2 linked regions of the Saccharomyces cerevisiae S288C genome follow. The main gene of each other region encodes a partner of the protein of the gene in region 2 in a complex. Each region holds a gene or a part of one and is shown on either strand. Other genes may lie near its edges.

Region 1 (8,894 bases), on a different chromosome or scaffold from region 2:
AACAAAGATAGAAGATTGCTCTTAAGAGAATTCTACAACTTGGAAAATGAACCGAATAAAGGTCGTCAAGAAGCACGTATAGGGGAAAAAGCCAGCGAGGCTCATTCTGGGGAGGAGCAAGTCACAGATGTGAATATAGATACCGAAGCAAACACTGAGAAACCAGTGAAAGATGACGAATTGAGTGCAACTGAAGAGGATCTCAAGGAGGGGTCAGAAGATGCAGAAGAAGAGATAAAGAACCTGCCCTTTAAGAGGCTAGTACAAATTCACAATAAGCTCTTGGGCAAAGAAACCGAGACTAACAATTCTATCAAGAATACCATTTACGAAAACTATTATGACCTAATAAAAGTCAACGACCTTCTCAAAGAAATTACAAACGCCAATGAAGACCAAATTAACAAGTTGAAGCAAACAGTAGAATCTTTAATCAAGGAACTGTAATTTCCAGCGGCATATCGTGGCTTTCACCGAACACTTCCTTCGAGAGAGTGCATTTTACTATGTGAACCAATTTTTCCTCTTTTTCGGTTTGCAAGTTCACCTGAAAAACTGCTTAACACTACTAGCAATTGCCCTATTGTCGTACGAGGACTTTGCCAAATGTATTCCCGGCTGTTTGTAGTATATATACGCAGATATATAATAGCGCCGTCTTTTTACCTCTTTGAGCGAATTGCCAAATATTGACTCTTTTGTCTTATTTCGCTATCCCCATCTTATCAAAAATGGGAACAACTCGTTGAAATAAGAGACAAGCAACAAGAAAGACAACCAACAGAAAGTTCCATTCCGCACAAATACGCTGGAATCCCATAGAATATTGCTTGTTCCTCTATGACTACATGCTCCAATTCAATACAGAAAATGATACTGTAGCTCCAGTGTTTCCCATGGAGCAAGATATAAATGCAGCACCTGATGCCGTCCCACTGGTGCAGACAACAACACTACAAGTCTTTGTAAAGCTTGCCGAACCCATAGTGTTTTTAAAAGGATTTGAAACTAACGGACTGTCTGAAATAGCCCCCAGTATCTTACGAGGATCTCTTATCGTCAGGGTGTTGAAACCGAATAAATTAAAAAGTATATCGATAACCTTCAAAGGAATATCCAGAACAGAGTGGCCGGAAGGTATACCACCGAAGAGAGAAGAATTTTCAGATGTTGAAACTGTTGTCAATCACACATGGCCATTTTATCAGGCGGATGACGGCATGAATTCTTTCACCTTAGAACATCACAGCTCAAATAATTCGTCCAATCGCCCATCTATGAGCGATGAAGATTATCTACTTGAAAAAAGCGGTGCTTCAGTATATATCCCACCAACCGCTGAACCCCCTAAAGATAATAGCAATCTAAGTCTGGATGCCTATGAGCGCAACTCATTGTCATCCGATAATTTGAGTAACAAGCCAGTATCAAGTGATGTTTCCCATGACGACAGTAAACTGTTGGCTATTCAAAAGACACCATTACCATCATCTAGTCGAAGAGGATCGGTACCGGCAAATTTTCACGGTAACTCTTTGTCACCTCATACCTTCATATCTGATTTGTTTACAAAAACATTCAGTAATAGTGGCGCTACTCCAAGTCCTGAGCAAGAGGATAACTATCTTACACCATCCAAAGATTCTAAAGAAGTTTTTATTTTTCGACCGGGCGATTATATTTACACTTTTGAACAGCCAATATCGCAATCTTATCCAGAAAGTATAAAAGCCAATTTTGGTTCCGTGGAGTATAAACTGTCAATAGACATAGAGAGGTTTGGCGCATTCAAATCAACTATACATACTCAATTACCCATCAAAGTCGTAAGGCTTCCTTCTGATGGATCCGTAGAAGAGACTGAAGCTATTGCAATTTCCAAGGACTGGAAAGATCTTCTTCATTATGACGTGGTAATTTTCTCGAAAGAGATCGTTTTGAATGCATTTTTACCCATCGATTTCCATTTCGCTCCTCTAGATAAAGTTACTCTGCATCGTATTAGAATTTATCTAACAGAGTCTATGGAATACACTTGTAATAGTAATGGAAATCACGAGAAGGCTCGTAGATTAGAGCCAACTAAAAAGTTTCTGTTGGCTGAACATAACGGTCCTAAACTGCCTCATATACCAGCTGGTTCGAATCCTTTGAAGGCTAAAAATAGAGGGAACATCCTCTTGGATGAAAAATCCGGCGATCTAGTTAACAAAGATTTTCAGTTCGAGGTGTTTGTCCCAAGCAAGTTTACAAACAGTATACGGTTACACCCTGATACAAATTATGATAAAATCAAAGCCCACCATTGGATAAAAATTTGCCTTCGTCTTTCCAAGAAGTACGGGGACAATAGAAAACATTTCGAAATAAGTATTGATTCTCCAATCCATATTTTAAATCAACTATGCTCACACGCGAATACTTTGCTACCGAGCTACGAGAGTCATTTCCAGTATTGTGATGAAGATGGTAATTTCGCACCAGCAGCAGATCAACAAAATTACGCAAGTCATCATGATTCCAATATTTTCTTCCCAAAAGAAGTTCTTTCGTCTCCCGTTCTTTCACCTAACGTGCAGAAGATGAACATTAGAATACCGTCTGATCTTCCAGTAGTGCGTAATAGAGCTGAAAGCGTAAAGAAAAGCAAGTCAGATAATACCTCCAAGAAGAATGATCAAAGTAGCAATGTCTTCGCATCCAAACAGCTGGTCGCAAACATTTATAAGCCCAATCAGATTCCAAGAGAATTAACTTCTCCTCAGGCGTTACCATTATCGCCCATCACCTCACCAATTCTCAATTACCAACCATTATCAAACTCCCCGCCTCCAGATTTTGATTTTGATCTAGCTAAGCGCGGCGCAGCCGATTCTCATGCTATTCCTGTGGATCCTCCATCATATTTTGATGTATTAAAGGCCGATGGGATTGAATTGCCATACTACGATACAAGTTCATCTAAAATTCCTGAACTAAAACTAAACAAATCTAGAGAGACATTGGCCAGCATTGAGGAGGACTCATTCAATGGTTGGTCTCAAATTGATGACTTATCCGACGAAGATGACAATGATGGCGATATAGCATCTGGTTTCAACTTCAAGCTGTCAACCAGTGCTCCGAGTGAGAACGTTAATTCACACACTCCTATTTTGCAGTCTTTAAACATGAGTCTTGATGGGAGAAAAAAAAATCGTGCCAGTCTACACGCAACATCAGTGTTACCTAGTACAATAAGACAGAACAATCAGCATTTCAATGACATAAACCAGATGCTAGGCAGTAGTGACGAAGATGCCTTTCCCAAAAGCCAATCATTAAATTTCAATAAGAAACTACCAATACTTAAAATTAATGATAACGTCATACAATCAAACAGCAATAGTAATAACAGAGTTGATAATCCAGAAGATACAGTGGATTCTTCAGTCGATATTACAGCATTTTATGATCCAAGAATGTCATCAGATTCCAAATTTGATTGGGAGGTAAGCAAGAACCATGTTGACCCAGCAGCCTACTCGGTTAACGTTGCTAGTGAAAACCGTGTACTGGACGACTTTAAGAAAGCATTTCGCGAAAAGAGAAAATAAGTACATTATTTTCATTCTCCGACAGAATTGCTACCATTTTACTTTGTGTCCTGTGATTCAATAGTGTACAATATATTGGACATTTTATAGTATACAAATATACACCATCAATCTATACATCCATATCACTTGTCGTAAAGATATCCCTTTTTAATAGTACAGCGATTAAAAAAATAACATGATTAACGTTCAGTTACCAATGAGCTTATTTATTAGGCTTGCTTTAGATTTTTCCAAGTCAATTTTTGTTTTTTCTAACGCTTGCAACCTCATCTCAACCTTCTTCCTTTGCAAGCAGATCTTCGAAACCATCTCGTTTATTCTCTCAATGCTGTTCCCACTTTCATCATCGTCTGGGAAAAGTACCGGTAAGGGCGTGATGATTTTCTCATTCGATTTGTTTATATTTCCTTTGCTTAAAAGCTGGGTTTCCCATTCTTCATTAGTTCTGTAGGGCACTTCATTTATGGCCTTCTCTATAATCTTTCTTTTAGAATCCTTTTGAATAGCAATTTGATTATCCGTGAGGGCTAGCATTTCGTCTTGAAAGCCTTGCATTTCATCGTCACTGAAGTTCGTAATCTCCTTTTCATTGTTACGTTTCAGACCACCATTTAATCTTATTGTCTCCATAATTTCGCGTTTATCCTCACTGTCCAACAATTTTACATAATCTCTTTCTGTTGTAACATCACTCTCACTAATTTTCCTTCTAGATAATGACTTCTGTGCTTTCAGTTTTGCAATTTCTCCTCGGGTTGGTATACTACTAATGTGCTCACCTTCGGAGCTACTGCCAGCCTCTGAAGAATCACTTAATAGATGATGATTCCCCTCCATCAAGTCCTCCATATTGAGAATTAGCAAATCATCTTTGTTTCGCGTCGATGCATTGGTATTTTTCTTTGAATGGTAAAGATCTTCATAATGCGAATTATCCTCCTTTATTGCTTGTTCGCCATCAAAGGTAATGTCGCGCTTAGGAACTTTTTTAAACTTTATTGGTTGTAATACACAAATGTCGTTGTCATCATCTTCAGAATCGTTCGACACTAGGGGCTTAATTTGCTGCATTGGCTTATGCGCAGAACCATCAATTCCAACCTCCTCAGGAGAACCACTTGGTAACCTAATTTTATTTCTTTTCTTGATCGCCATAATGTGTTCAAATGCTATAACATTGCTAGGCAGAACTTGACGTAACTCGACCAGTTATATTGCTTCTTCAAAGCACAAATTTATGATGATTGCTTTCAGTTATGAGGTTCATTTCGATATTCTTTATGATCTTCGCTTGCCGGGTATCGGACAAATATTGAAATATTATACAGCAAGAAAGAGGCATAAAGAGCCTGGCAGCAGCAAATAATGGCAAAGTGAACGTAGTCCGAGAAACAGTGGCTTAATTATTTAACCTTGGGTTTGCAGTAATTAATAATGACAAGAAAGCAGGCTATTGACTATGCAATCAAACAAGTTCCGCAAATATTGCCTTTGGAAGAGTCTGATGTAAAAGCGCTGTGCGAACAAGTACTGAGTACATCATCTGATGATCCAGAACAAATTGCTTCAAAATTTTTGGAGTTCCTAGGTCATGAAGATCTATCGTTTGAATTTGTAATGAAGTTCAATGAATTATTGAATCAGAATGATAAAAAAGAGGAAAAAAAAACGAAAAATGTGCATCTTGAACATACTGCCCCCACTTCATGGAAAAATGAATCAAAACAGCCCACTAATAACTATATCAATAAGAAGGGAGATGAAAAACCAAAAAAATTAAAGGATGAGAAGAAAAGCTCGACAACGAGGCCTACCGTTCAACCATCAAATCAATCTACGCAATCAAACCCCATAAAGGAGAAAAAAGAGCACAGATCAAAGGGGAAATTACAATCGTTACAAGAAATAGACGAAGCAATCAAGATGCTAGAGCTTCGAGATAGCGGTTCTTCTAAAAATTGTAATTGTCAAGGTACAAGGCATCCAGTTTTCGACATCGCGCCAAACTGTCTTCACTGTGGTAAAGTGGTTTGTGTTATAGAGGGATTGAATAAAGGTAAATGCGGTCATTGCCATGAACAGTTGATTTCTGATAACGAAAGAACCCAAATGGTAGAAATTTTAAATCAGGAAAAAAACGAACTAAACGGTTCATCATCGTCCTTATCCAATGCGTCAAATGGAGCTAATGTCCCAAAGAAGAAGACTAAAACCTACAAAATAACTTCCGGTATGGGTAAAAATTTATTTGCTGAACAGGACAAATTATTTGATTTCATCGAAAGGAAAAGAGAAAGAGAAAGAAAGCGTAATGAAGTGTTGAAATTGCAGGAGGAAAAAGAAGAGAGCGAAGCAAAGGAAAGACAAGCGAGCGAGCATGACCATAAAGCTGAGGAAAACCCGGAGTTGTTAGCAGCACAAGAACGATTAGATAGACTTTTATATTTCCAAGACACTTCGGCAGAAAGAACAAAAATTATTGATAATGCCAGCGATTTTGACATGAATCAGGAGGTGGGTTTATGGGGCAGCGCAAGAGAAAGAGCTCTTGCGTTGAAGAAGCAACAACGTAATTTGAGAAAGTGGGAAAAAGTAGAAAAGGAACGGAATGGCAGGCGCGAGAAGTACGTTGTTAGCATGAATATAGGTTCAAACGGTAAAGTTACTATGACAGAAGTCCCTAAGGATACAGAGAACGTAATTGCAGGTTCAGATGATGACATCAGTGATATAAGTGACGAAGAAGATATCAGCGACCTTAAACATATACACGCTCTGAAAAGTGAAATAAATACAACGAAATCCTTGGAGAATTTGCATTTACAGTCCAAAGCATGGGATTACGAACGTGATAAAAAACAATTCGATAGGCCTACGTATGTGAAAAAAAATTCAGATACTGCACAACAGAATAGAAAAACGGAAGAAAAGGCTCACGACATGCAAGCTTATGATTTAAAGTCAAGAGTACAAGTGGACCAAAATGCAGACGCATCAGTAGAACAGAATATTCTTGCTGTACTTTGATGAATGGTAAAAGTTTATATTATATATGATAGAGGATATAACCGTTATTCATTTTCTGTAGATTTTATCATTTTCTTTGTCTTCATAGTATACAATTTTTTTTTATATGAATTAATGCTTGTTCTTGTCTATTTAGTAGTTAAACTCACTTGCTATTTGCTTCTCTGCCATACGAGCCATACGAAACATTTTATTTTTAGAGTTTTCCTTAGTTGGCTTCTTTTCACTATTACCATCCTTACTACTTTGCAATCCCATAGCCTTTGGCCTTTCACGTAACCCAAAACTTTTAGCTAAATGGCCTAGATGTAAGAACTTCACGTTGAAAAACTTCTTTTCTTGAGAGATATGCGTTGCGTAAGCCCTCACATGACTAATGAAACCTTTAACGGCCAAATTTTTGAATGCGGAATCTCCCACTACTCGTCTTTCTATATTCAAATGCCATGTCGTAGCATTGGTATCCCACTCATATTCTTTATCGCCCACGTCTTTATTTTTGGACGATTTCTCATCTTTTCTAATGAATTTATCATTTCTGTTGACATTCACATCTTTGAAAGCCGGCATTAGTATTTCTTTATCGAATTTCAGTAATTCCCAACCCATCGGATGATACGGCTGGATATAGTCCATATATTTTTCTTCTTCGCCAGGAAGTAAAAATAACAAACTTTCACCCTTCTCACCGGCCCTTGCTGTACGACCAACTCTATGTAAATGGTCTTCAACAGCAAATGGTGGATCCAACTCAATAACAGATCCAACGTGGGGAAGGTCTAGGCCTCTACTTGCGACATCTGTACAGAACATAATAAGATGTTTTCCCTTGGTGGCTTCATTATCACGAGCAAAATGCTGCAATGTAGAGGTTCTCATTTGTTGGGATAAAGAACCGTGCAATTTATAAATCACTACATCTGGGTCCCTAGAATCTGAAAAACAAGGAAACATAGTGTTTCCTTTTGTCAATAGTCTTACAGAATCACCCGTTAGATTTTTATGGTGCCCGTCACTTCCTGAAAATGCGTCATAATGAAACTCCACGCTGTCTGAACATGATACGAATACGATTGTACGCAGCGTTTTGGACTGTTGACCGGAAGCGATGAAATCTTTGGTAATGTTGTTCAAAGTAGCAGCTAATGTTACAAGACGCAACTTTGGTGGGACAATAGTAATCCTCTGCAATAGTTGATCGGGCGCAACCGTTACTATATCAGAATCTTTCTTGGTACCGTTGCTAATCAATTTGTAATCTTTCAACGCCACGTTTCTTAACCTATTAACACCATCAGTAAGTGTAGCACTACATAACATGTGCACTAACTTATGCGGTAGCTTGGGAAATTTTTCGGAGTTGATGGGAATATCGTGAACAATTTTAATAATTTCACTGATCGTCTCATCAAAACCCAATTCCATTAACTTATCTCCTTCATCCAATACGATATACCTTAGAGATTGACTCAATTGCTCCTTGATAACTTTTGTATTTTGTAAATGATCCAAAACACGACCTGGTGTACCGATTATGAAATTGCAACCCTTACGCAATCTAGCTTTTTCTGATTTCTTACGTTCTCCACCAATCAATAAACATGGGACCAAGTAGTGACAACATGACACAAGCGTGGAACAAACATGATATATTTGTGATGCTAGTTCTCGTGTAGGAGCAATAACCAATGCAAATGCACCAGAAGTACGATCAACATGAGTATCCATGTTCAAAATAGTAGATATTATAGGTAAAAGATACGATAAAGTCTTACCTGAGCCTGTTTGGGCGTGAATGAAAAAATCGTTCTTCCCCGCGTTACCTATTATTTGAGGTATGGCCTGCTTCTGGATGCTCGTAGGCTTTTTAATACGCATTTTTTGCTCCAGATGAGAAACAAGAAGACTAGAGACACCTAAAGACGCAAACTGATCACCTTTCAAGGGCGCGTTAGACGGATTGATGGCAACGTTTTCATCATGAATATTAGTGTTTACCGCAGTTGTAATCTCTCTGTTAGATGTAAACAGGGATGAAACAAACTGAGAATCGGCTGGTAGAGTTCTCCCTTGAGTGTTATGAGCATTTCTACCCTTATATTTTTCCTGCTCTTCAGAACTATAGGAACTCTCCTTATGCAATTTTTTAATAGAATTCTCGCCTCTACCCGGAATTATCCCTTCGTCCCCTGTAGTGTTCGCCTTTCTTTTCCTCGAGACTGTCTTGCCCTCAAGCTTCATTTTCATTCTTCTTCTATCCTTCCATCT
Region 2 (10,089 bases):
CGTTTACAGATGAGAAAACCAGATTCCAATGGGTGTACCCATTACACGACCGTCGTGAAGAATCTATCCTCAATGTTTTTACATCGATATTAGCATTTATTAAGAACCAATTCAATGCTCGCGTTCTAGTTATCCAGATGGATCGTGGCTCCGAGTACACTAACAAAACTCTTCATAAGTTCTTTACGAACAGAGGTATTACTGCATGCTATACAACCACGGCAGATTCTAGAGCACACGGTGTCGCTGAACGATTAAATCGTACTTTATTAAACGATTGTCGCACACTGCTTCATTGCAGTGGTCTACCAAATCATCTATGGTTCTCAGCAGTCGAATTTTCTACTATAATCAGAAATTCATTAGTCTCACCAAAAAACGATAAATCTGCAAGACAACATGCAGGTTTAGCTGGACTGGACATTACTACTATACTACCTTTCGGTCAACCGGTTATAGTTAACAACCATAATCCCGACTCGAAAATACATCCTCGTGGCATTCCAGGTTACGCCTTACATCCATCACGAAACTCTTATGGCTATATTATCTATCTTCCATCCTTAAAAAAGACAGTAGATACTACCAATTACGTTATATTACAAAACAAGCAAACGAAATTGGACCAGTTCGACTACGATACACTCACTTTTGATGATGATCTCAATCGTTTAACAGCCCATAACCAATCTTTTATTGAACAAAATGAAACAGAGCAGTCATATGATCAAAATAAAGAATCTGATCATGACTATCAATCGGAGATTGAAATAAACTCTGATCCTCTAGTGAACGACTTCTCGTCCCAATCAATAAACCCTTTACAATTAGACAAGGAACCAGTCCAAAAAGTACGTGCACCAAAAGAAGTTGATGCCGACATATCTGAATACAATATTCTTCCATCTACTATACGATCTCGTACACCCCATATCATTAATAAAGAGAGTACCGAAATGGGTGGTACCGTTGAATCAGATACTACTTCACCTAGACACTCGTCTACCTTCACTGCACGAAACCAAAACCGACCTGGTAGTACCAATGAGATGATTGATTTGACCTCACAGGATAGAGTTAATTATGGACTTGAAAACATCAAAACTACACGTTTGGGTGGTACGGAGGAACCATATATTCAACGAAATAGTGATACAAATATCAAATACAGGACTACAAATAGTACGCCCTCAATAGATGACCGTTCGTCCAACAGTGAATCCACTACTCCCATCATCTCCATAGAAACAAAGGCTGTATGTGATAATACACCCTCCATTGATACGGATCCGCCAGAATATCGATCTTCTGACCATGCGACTCCTAATATAATGCCTGACAAATCCTCAAAAAATGTTACGGCTGATTCTATTCTTGACGACCTCCCACTTCCTGACTTAACCCATAAATCTCCTACGGACACTTCTGATGTTTCAAAAGATATTCCACACATACACTCTCGTCAGACTAATTCCAGTTTGGGTGGTATGGATGATTCTAATGTTCTGACTACTACCAAAAGTAAGAAAAGATCATTAGAAGATAATGAAACTGAAATTGAGGTATCCCGAGACACATGGAATAATAAGAATATGAGAAGTCTGGAACCACCAAGATCGAAGAAACGCATAAATTTAATTGCAGCAATAAAAGGAGTGAAATCGATCAAACCAGTTCGAACGACCTTAAGATATGATGAAGCAATTACATATAATAAAGACAACAAAGAAAAAGACAGATATGTTGAAGCTTATCATAAAGAAATTAGCCAACTATTGAAAATGAACACTTGGGATACAAACAAATATTATGATAGAAATGACATAGATCCTAAAAAAGTAATAAACTCAATGTTTATATTTAACAAGAAACGTGATGGTACACACAAAGCTAGATTTGTTGCAAGAAGCGACATTCAACACCCCGATACATATGATTCTGATATGCAATCCAATACCGTACATCACTATGCACTGATGACGTCATTGTCAATCGCATTAGACAATGACTATTATATCACACAGCTGGACATATCCTCTGCTTACTTATATGCTGATATCAAAGAAGAATTATACATAAGACCTCCACCACATTTAGGTTTGAATGATAAGTTACTACGTTTGAGAAAATCACTCTATGGTTTGAAACAAAGTGGTGCAAACTGGTATGAAACCATTAAATCATATTTAATAAATTGTTGCGACATGCAAGAAGTTCGCGGATGGTCATGCGTATTTAAGAATAGTCAAGTAACAATTTGCTTATTCGTTGATGATATGATATTATTCAGCAAAGACTTAAATGCAAATAAGAAAATCATAACAACACTCAAGAAACAATACGATACAAAGATAATAAATCTGGGTGAAGGTGATAACGAAATTCAGTACGACATACTTGGATTAGAGATCAAATATCAAAGAAGCAAGTACATGAAATTAGGTATGGAAAAATCCTTGACAGAAAAATTACCCAAACTAAACGTACCTTTGAACCCAAAAGGAAAGAAACTTAGAGCTCCAGGTCAACCAGGTCATTATATAGACCAGGATGAACTAGAAATAAATGAAGAGAAATTTAGAAACAGATTTTTTGGCACAAAGGCAATGAGACTTAGAGATGAAGTATCAGGTAATAATTTATACGTATACTACATCGAGACCAAGAAGAACATTGCTGATGTGATGACAAAACCTCTTCCGATAAAAACATTTAAACTATTAACTAACAAATGGATTCATTAGATCTATTACATTATGGGTGGTATGTTGGAATAAAAATCAACTATCATCTACTAACTAGTATTTACGTTACTAGTATATTATCATATACGGTGTTAGAAGATGACGCAAATGATGAGAAATAGTCATCTAAATTAGTGGAAGCTGAAACGCAAGGATTGATAATGTAATAGGATCAATGAATATTAACATATAAAATGATGATAATAATATTTATAGAATTGTGTAGAATTGCAGATTCCCTTTTATGGATTCCTAAATCCTCGAGGAGAACTTCTAGTATATCTACATACCTAATATTATAGCCTTAATCACAATGGAATCCCAACAATTACATCAAAATCCACATACTCTACAAATTTAAAGAAGTTTAACTCCAACAATAGCCGTTACTAACAAGAATCCCAAAAAGTATCAAATTATTCGCTGATTCTTCAAAACTATTTGAAAAAAAAAATCTCACATTTTTGATATTCCAACATAAGTAATTGAAGGTCAATGATAGAAGCTATCAATAATATTATATAATTTTTAACTCAGCAGATATCGGAAATAAAAGACTCCATGGCCAAGTTGGTTAAGGCGTGCGACTGTTAATCGCAAGATCGTGAGTTCAACCCTCACTGGGGTCGTTTATTTTTTTTGCATTAAATTATTTAGTGAGCTAAAAACTCCATTAAAATAGTAATCGTATAAACTAATATCAAGTGAAGCTGACTACTTGATTAGGCTCACTACTTAGCCACATTCGGGCTTTCTTCTGTCTTTCTTGGAAAATAACAGCTCCATTTGATCTTGATATAAAAAAGGTCCTTTGATCCCATCCGAAACTCGTTTCCTTCTGCCACAACTCTTAACAGTCTAACTACGAGAGTCTAGCGAAGTATAAAAGTTTAAACAATAAATTTTGGAAACATTTCAAGGGCAAAATACCAACAACTATCAAATAAGGGGAATTAATAGACTCCACTTTAAATTAATCCATTGTCTAAAAATGGTAATGCAATTATTATTTATTTAGTAATCTAATCAATTTTGTTTTTCGACAATAATATATAAATCGTGCCTATCTCACCTCTTTTATAGGTACTTTCTAGAGGTCAAGGGCCCATAAATAAATTGGCTTAAAGGTCCCACTGGAATCCTCCACCCAAAGAATATCATGTTTCAAAGCAACTTCCATTTTTTTCTTCCCGTTTCGGATCTCAAATAAAGGAACTATACAATCTTGGTCTCTTCCATATGGCAGTTGAGTGTACCTATTTGGTATTTTGCTGATCAAGTACCCTTTTTCCAGGCAGTAGTCTTCTACCACATCCTTGAAAGAGCTGCTAACTTTTCCAAGCGGAATATTTTGTACAGTATAGGTAGGTTCTTGTTCGCTTTGACTAATATCGTCGATCACTTGTGTTTCCATTAAGTTTCGTAAACCCTGTCTCAAATCGAAATCTTCATCTAATGTAGATTTATCAAGGTGGTACCTATGAGACATAGCGAATATATTATAGCTTTTTCTGATCTCCGATAGTTCTATTTCTGTTGGTAAAGAGTGCTCAAATACCGTATTCATCAGCCAATTAAGCCACCACTTTGACTTGTGTAAGTCTTCCACTGTACTATAAAGATGCCATTGATAGAGTATTTTGTTTATATTATTAAAGGTTCCCCGCATCATCAATTCATACTGTTTTGGATGAAAATAATGGGTATAACTTCTCAGTTTTTTCATAAAATAGAAAAATCCAGAATCTTTTTCTTTCCATTCCTGTTTTTCCTTCCAATCCTCTAACTCGTAGATGGGGTCATTATGTCTTTCCCACAGCTCGTCCAGGAATTTAGGAAGAAACTCTTTACATAAAATTTTGTAATATCTTCGTTCGCAGATAAGTTCTTTGATAAATATAATATCAGAATTAGTGATACAAAATGATTCCCTATGGTACCAATTTTTACAATAAGCAAAAAATTTTGCTTCAATCTTGTCCACAATTGTGTCTTTGATCTTATCGTCAATTAAAACCATAAAATCCAAGACCCATATTCTTGGCGAAACATGGTCTACTTCATCGTGAAGTTCCCAATTATCTAATTCCTGTAATAGCTTTGGATAGACGAATTCCTCCATGATATGCTCTTTACACCCGATAAAACTTAGCACTTGTTGGAAATCCAGTAATAGGGTGATAGCGCTGTCGATTTTTGATTTAGTCATATCAAACCCTTCCCAAAATTTTTTGAGTTTGGGATATATAACTTTAAAGATTGTTGTTTGTGTCCTGTTCAAAAATTTCGAAGTTGTATCCATTCTATATGCGAGTAGTTCTATAATTTGCGTTAACTCATCAAGTATATCGTTTGGCTTTTCTAAATGATCCAAATCAAATTCTATTAGTAATTCTTTTCTCAATAAGCAGGACGTTAGCCTATCTATGAGCTCGTCGTCGGACAATTTTAAAATAGCACCAATCTTATCATACAGGGAAACATGCTTGCTTTCGTCCCTCAAAGTAACCTCCAATTCAGAAAGAAGCCTCTCTTGTCCATAATATTCTTTGACTTGCACTTCTAACGGAGAGGTGCGCTGACGAATAGCTTCCAAACTTTTTTCAATACCCAGCAGCTCTTGCAATATCTCCACAACAACATCTTTTTTCGGCTTTGGTACTGCATTTAAAGGGTCTAATTCTTTTAGGATACTCTCTGGTAATTGTACCCCTGCTAACCTCAATTCTCTCAGTGTTCGCACTATAGTCATATCACCACTATCATTTAACAACGCTTCGCCTAAAACCTCCGTGGAGGTTTTATTGAATTTGACTTGTTCTATACCTTCAACCACCTCATCCTCAGAGCTCAAGTAATCCTCATTTTCACTGTGATAGTTACTGGAGTTGGTATTTGAAAACATTCCTAGACCTGCATTGTGCATAGGTCGGCTTTGGGTTTCTATTGGTGTAGTTATACCAGAACCATCCTTCCCAAGGCCTTTTCCCGCAACATATCCCATACTCGAAAGTAACTTCGCACCAATACCATATGTCTTCGTTAATTTTGAGATCGTTGGGGCATTGCCGCTACTAGTTTTCAAGGCATCATTAGTGTATGTCATGTCACTATTCATGCTTGAATTATTATCTTCCTCATCGCTATAATTATAGGAATCGATTCTTCTTTTTTTGAAAAAGAACTTTTTATCTGTGTTGGAGTCCGAATCCTCCATGTTTTGGCGTACTGAAGGCTTAAGTTCTTCGACCTCTCTCGGTTGTACTATTTCGAAATTTTGGATTTTTGTTATTGTTTTGACATAATGTAAATACTAGATGCGCGCTCTAAGGCCTCAGTATTAAAAATTGCAAGATATCCCTAACTTGATAATTATTTGAAAGTCGCATAACGTACGATAAATTCGATACTGCGAGGATATTATCAACGTATTTAACACCTATGAACGAAGCAGATGTTACAAAATTTGTTAATAATGCCAGGAAAACGCTGACCGATGCTCAACTTTTATGTTCAAGTGCTAATTTAAGGATTGTAGATATTAAGAAAAAATTGTCATCTTGGCAGTTGAGTATTTCAAAACTCAATTTTCTAATAGTTGGCTTGAGACAGCAAGGAAAGTTTCTTTACACTATTTTAAAGGAAGGCATTGGGACAAAGCTAATCCAGAAACAATGGAATCAAGCTGTCTTAGTGGTCTTAGTTGATGAGATGAAGTACTGGCAATATGAAATCACTTCTAAAGTACAAAGGTTGGATGGTATAGTAAATGAATTGAGCATATCAGAAAAAGATGATACCGATCCCTCTAAACTAGGAGATTACATCTCGAGAGACAACGTTAACTTATTGAATGACAAACTGAAAGAAGTGCCAGTAATTGAGCGTCAAATTGAAAACATTAAGCTTCAATACGAAAATATGGTCAGAAAAGTTAACAAAGAACTGATTGATACCAAGTTGACGGACGTAACTCAAAAATTCCAAAGTAAATTTGGTATAGATAACCTGATGGAAACAAATGTTGCAGAGCAGTTTAGCAGGGAACTAACGGACCTTGAAAAAGATTTAGCAGAGATAATGAATTCATTGACACAGCACTTTGATAAGACATTGCTGTTACAAGATAAAAAAATTGATAACGATGAACGTGAGGAGCTGTTTAAGGTGGTACAAGGCGACGACAAAGAACTATACAACATTTTCAAAACTCTGCATGAGGTAATTGATGACGTGGACAAAACAATTCTTAACTTGGGTCAATTTTTGCAGGCAAAAATAAAGGAAAAGACAGAACTACACAGCGAAGTTTCTGAAATAATAAACGATTTCAATAGAAATTTGGAATATCTATTAATCTTTAAAGATATTTCCAATCTGATTGATAGCTTCAAAAATTCCTGTACACAAGATATTCAAACAACTAAGGAACTTTGTGAATTTTATGATAATTTTGAAGAAAGCTACGGTAACTTAGTTCTAGAAGCAAAGAGGAGAAAGGATGTGGCAAACAGAATGAAAACTATATTGAAAGATTGTGAAAAGCAGTTGCAGAATTTAGATGCTCAGGACCAGGAAGAACGTCAGAATTTTATAGCGGAAAATGGAACTTATCTTCCTGAGACAATCTGGCCCGGTAAAATTGACGATTTTTCTTCCCTGTACACTTTAAATTACAACGTGAAGAATCCTTAGAAAAAAGGAAAAAAAGGATACGGTACAAAGATTCAATAATTGTATCAATATTTCGAAAAATACTTTATCAAAAAAGCAATACTTGAAGGAGAAAGGAAAAAATTCGCTGTCTTCTTCACTTTTACGACAAAGAAAAATGTGCCCTTTTCAACTAAAAGTCATGAATGAATAAATAAATGATTACATATGCGTATATTTTATAGTGAACAACTTCTGACATATTATCCCGAATGTGAGTAATCATGCTTGTGCTGTGAATCTGTGTTGGTGTTTGGCTGTGACCCTGCCAAAAAGGTGCTCGAAGTGCCGGAAACAATTCCACTTTTATCCAAACTGCTCGTAGTGGACGAGTGGGATAACGTTCTTGTTAAATATTTTCCAAAAAGTAAACTGTTTGGGCCAAATGAGTCGCTATGTTCTAATACAAATTGGCTATGATTGGACCCTGAGGTGTGATGATCCCTTCCAGAAAAGCTTGCCTTTTTATTGGGGTTCTTGTGCGAAATTATTCGAGCAGTAATCATGTTATTCCTGCTACGATTGGCCTCACTGAGAGTACGACTATATCTTTCTATCTCCTCAGCGAAATTTTCCTCAAAAAGACGCACTAGAAGATCATGTGATGGTTTTAGATCCTTTGATGGTAGTAGTTCTGCATGCAACGTTAGACAGCGACCTAATACTGCAACAAGCTCATCAAAAGCTAGCGTCAATCTTCCTAAATCATCAGTACTGAACTGCTTGGATGTGGAGGGTTCTAAAAAGGCCTTGTACTGTGATATGCCTCCATTAACTGGAGCTGATATTGTTCCCGTAATATTTGTAGAAAGCTCGGTAAATAAATCGTTCACATCACCGTGGTCCTTCAGAGTTTTATTGCACATGTTTTCAAGCCCATATAACTCCTGTATTTTAACTTGTAAGGAACGAATTGCATTTTCAAGTGGAGAAAGTTTGCTCTTCGTAACCTTTACAATTTCTGATCTATTCATTAGTGTTGGAAAAGTATTCATAGTATGATACGTATATTCCTCCACCCACAGGTCAGTGACTCCTTTTGCGCCTGGCAAACGTCGAGAATTACTGAAAGTCCTCAAATCTCTATTCTCAATGTACATCCGCACTTTGTTGTTAATTGAGCTTTTCTTGTCACTACTGTTGTAATTATCGGATATACTTAAGCACGGTTCGACGGAAGCTACATGAATGTATTTTCCCATTGGAGGATTCATCAATAACATATCCACTTCTTCTTGTGAGTGTACAATATTTGACCCATGATAGCTTCGTAGAAGCCTGTCATGCATAGACGTAATGTGTTCAAATGGGAGACCCTCAAAGACGAACGATTTATTTCTTAATGATTTTGGAAAACCAAATCCCATGAAAGAAACTTTAAAATACGTTGGAACCAGTCTATCAATGGACTGTAATCTGGTATAAATGCCTGCTATTTGGTCATGTACAAAGGCCAGCCCGTTTAAATCATAATTGATCTCATCGTAGGCTTTTATCAAGTCCTTGTATACCGCTAAAGCTTTTTCTGGTTTTTGGCCTCTCGAAAAGTTTCTTGCGGATTCCTTAAGAAGATATTCCTTCCTCTCAAATGAAGATTGCTCTGGCAATGGCGGGAAAGATATTGCTTCAAGAGTATCATTAGAATCCCAAGCGTACGTACCTGCCAAGAGTTCTAGACTCAAAGCTGCTTGAACAAAGTCTTTTTTCTGAATAAAGTGGATAAACAAATCATATATCATTTTATGAAACAACTCTGGCCTGTTTGCTTCTAGCAAGTACTCGAACATCTCTATGTGCCGAGCAGTCCGATCATCATCAAATTCTTCTTGATTAGGTATTTTGTAGATTTCATTTACAATATGCAAAAAACCAAGTAAATCTCTTAAGAAATCCATACAAGCAGGAAAAAAGGTGTCAGAATCGGGAACGTGCATCATAAAAAACAAACAAGAAACAAACCTTTCCAATTCGTAATCATTCAAACGAAGCTTCCCGATTTGGTATGCGCTGAATAATTCTGGGATACATGCGTTCACTGCTGGTTGTAGGGACCCAAATATCCTCCAAAAATTTAGCCCTAATCCCCATAGTATTTTGCAACAAATTCTTGTTGCATCGATATGTCTATGGAAAGCAAAAATAAAGATCTCACGTATCAAAAATTGATTATGAACAAACAATTCAAATTGGCAATCACTCAAGGCTCCTAATCCATACTTTTTAGCATAAGTGATATTATAGTGCCCAGTGGCTAGGGCATCCCAACATTCATTTAGGATATATGCTGAAATTTTTTTCAGGTCACCCGATATCAAATAAACGGCCTTACGTGGAGTAATAGCTAACTTAGTCAAGGATGCACTTTTATGGTTTGAAACTAGTAGTATGACTTTTACATATTCTGCCCAAAGTCGCATGTCAACCCTCTTTTCAGACTCCTTTGATGGAGAAGGTGAATTATTTTCTATGATATAATCCTTGCATAAACTAAGCAATATTAGAGACGATCTTCCTAATAACGCTGATACGCCAAGCCACTTCATTCCTGGGAACCAATCTTGTTTAAAAAACAAAAAAACTGTTTTGGTTATTGTATAGACATTTTCATTCGTGATTTGTCGTGAATAAAAAT

Evidence for each region.
Region 1: SPP382 (region 2) and NTR2 share a complex: the UniProt entries of both Saccharomyces cerevisiae proteins name them as parts of the NTR complex.

The regions. Positions count from the first base shown.
Region 1 is NC_001143.9:478,386-487,279, forward strand, and holds NTR2 (Ntr2p), read right to left. Parts: upstream 4,755-8,894; coding exon 3,786-4,754; downstream 1-3,785. Other genes in the region: VPS51 (Vps51p), read left to right, coding at 1-447; ALY1 (Aly1p), read left to right, coding at 849-3,596; RQT4 (Rqt4p), read left to right, coding at 5,034-6,626; DBP7 (putative ATP-dependent RNA helicase), read right to left, coding at 6,759-8,894. UniProt on the Saccharomyces cerevisiae protein: Involved in pre-mRNA splicing and spliceosome disassembly. Promotes release of excised lariat intron from the spliceosome by acting as a receptor for PRP43.
Region 2 is NC_001144.5:969,267-979,355, reverse strand, and holds SPP382 (mRNA splicing protein SPP382), read right to left. Parts: upstream 5,962-10,089; coding exon 3,835-5,961; downstream 1-3,834. Other genes in the region: protein kinase regulatory subunit ATG17, read left to right, coding at 6,186-7,439; guanine nucleotide exchange factor DCK1, read right to left, coding at 7,661-10,089. UniProt on the Saccharomyces cerevisiae protein: Involved in pre-mRNA splicing and spliceosome disassembly. Promotes release of excised lariat intron from the spliceosome by acting as a receptor for PRP43.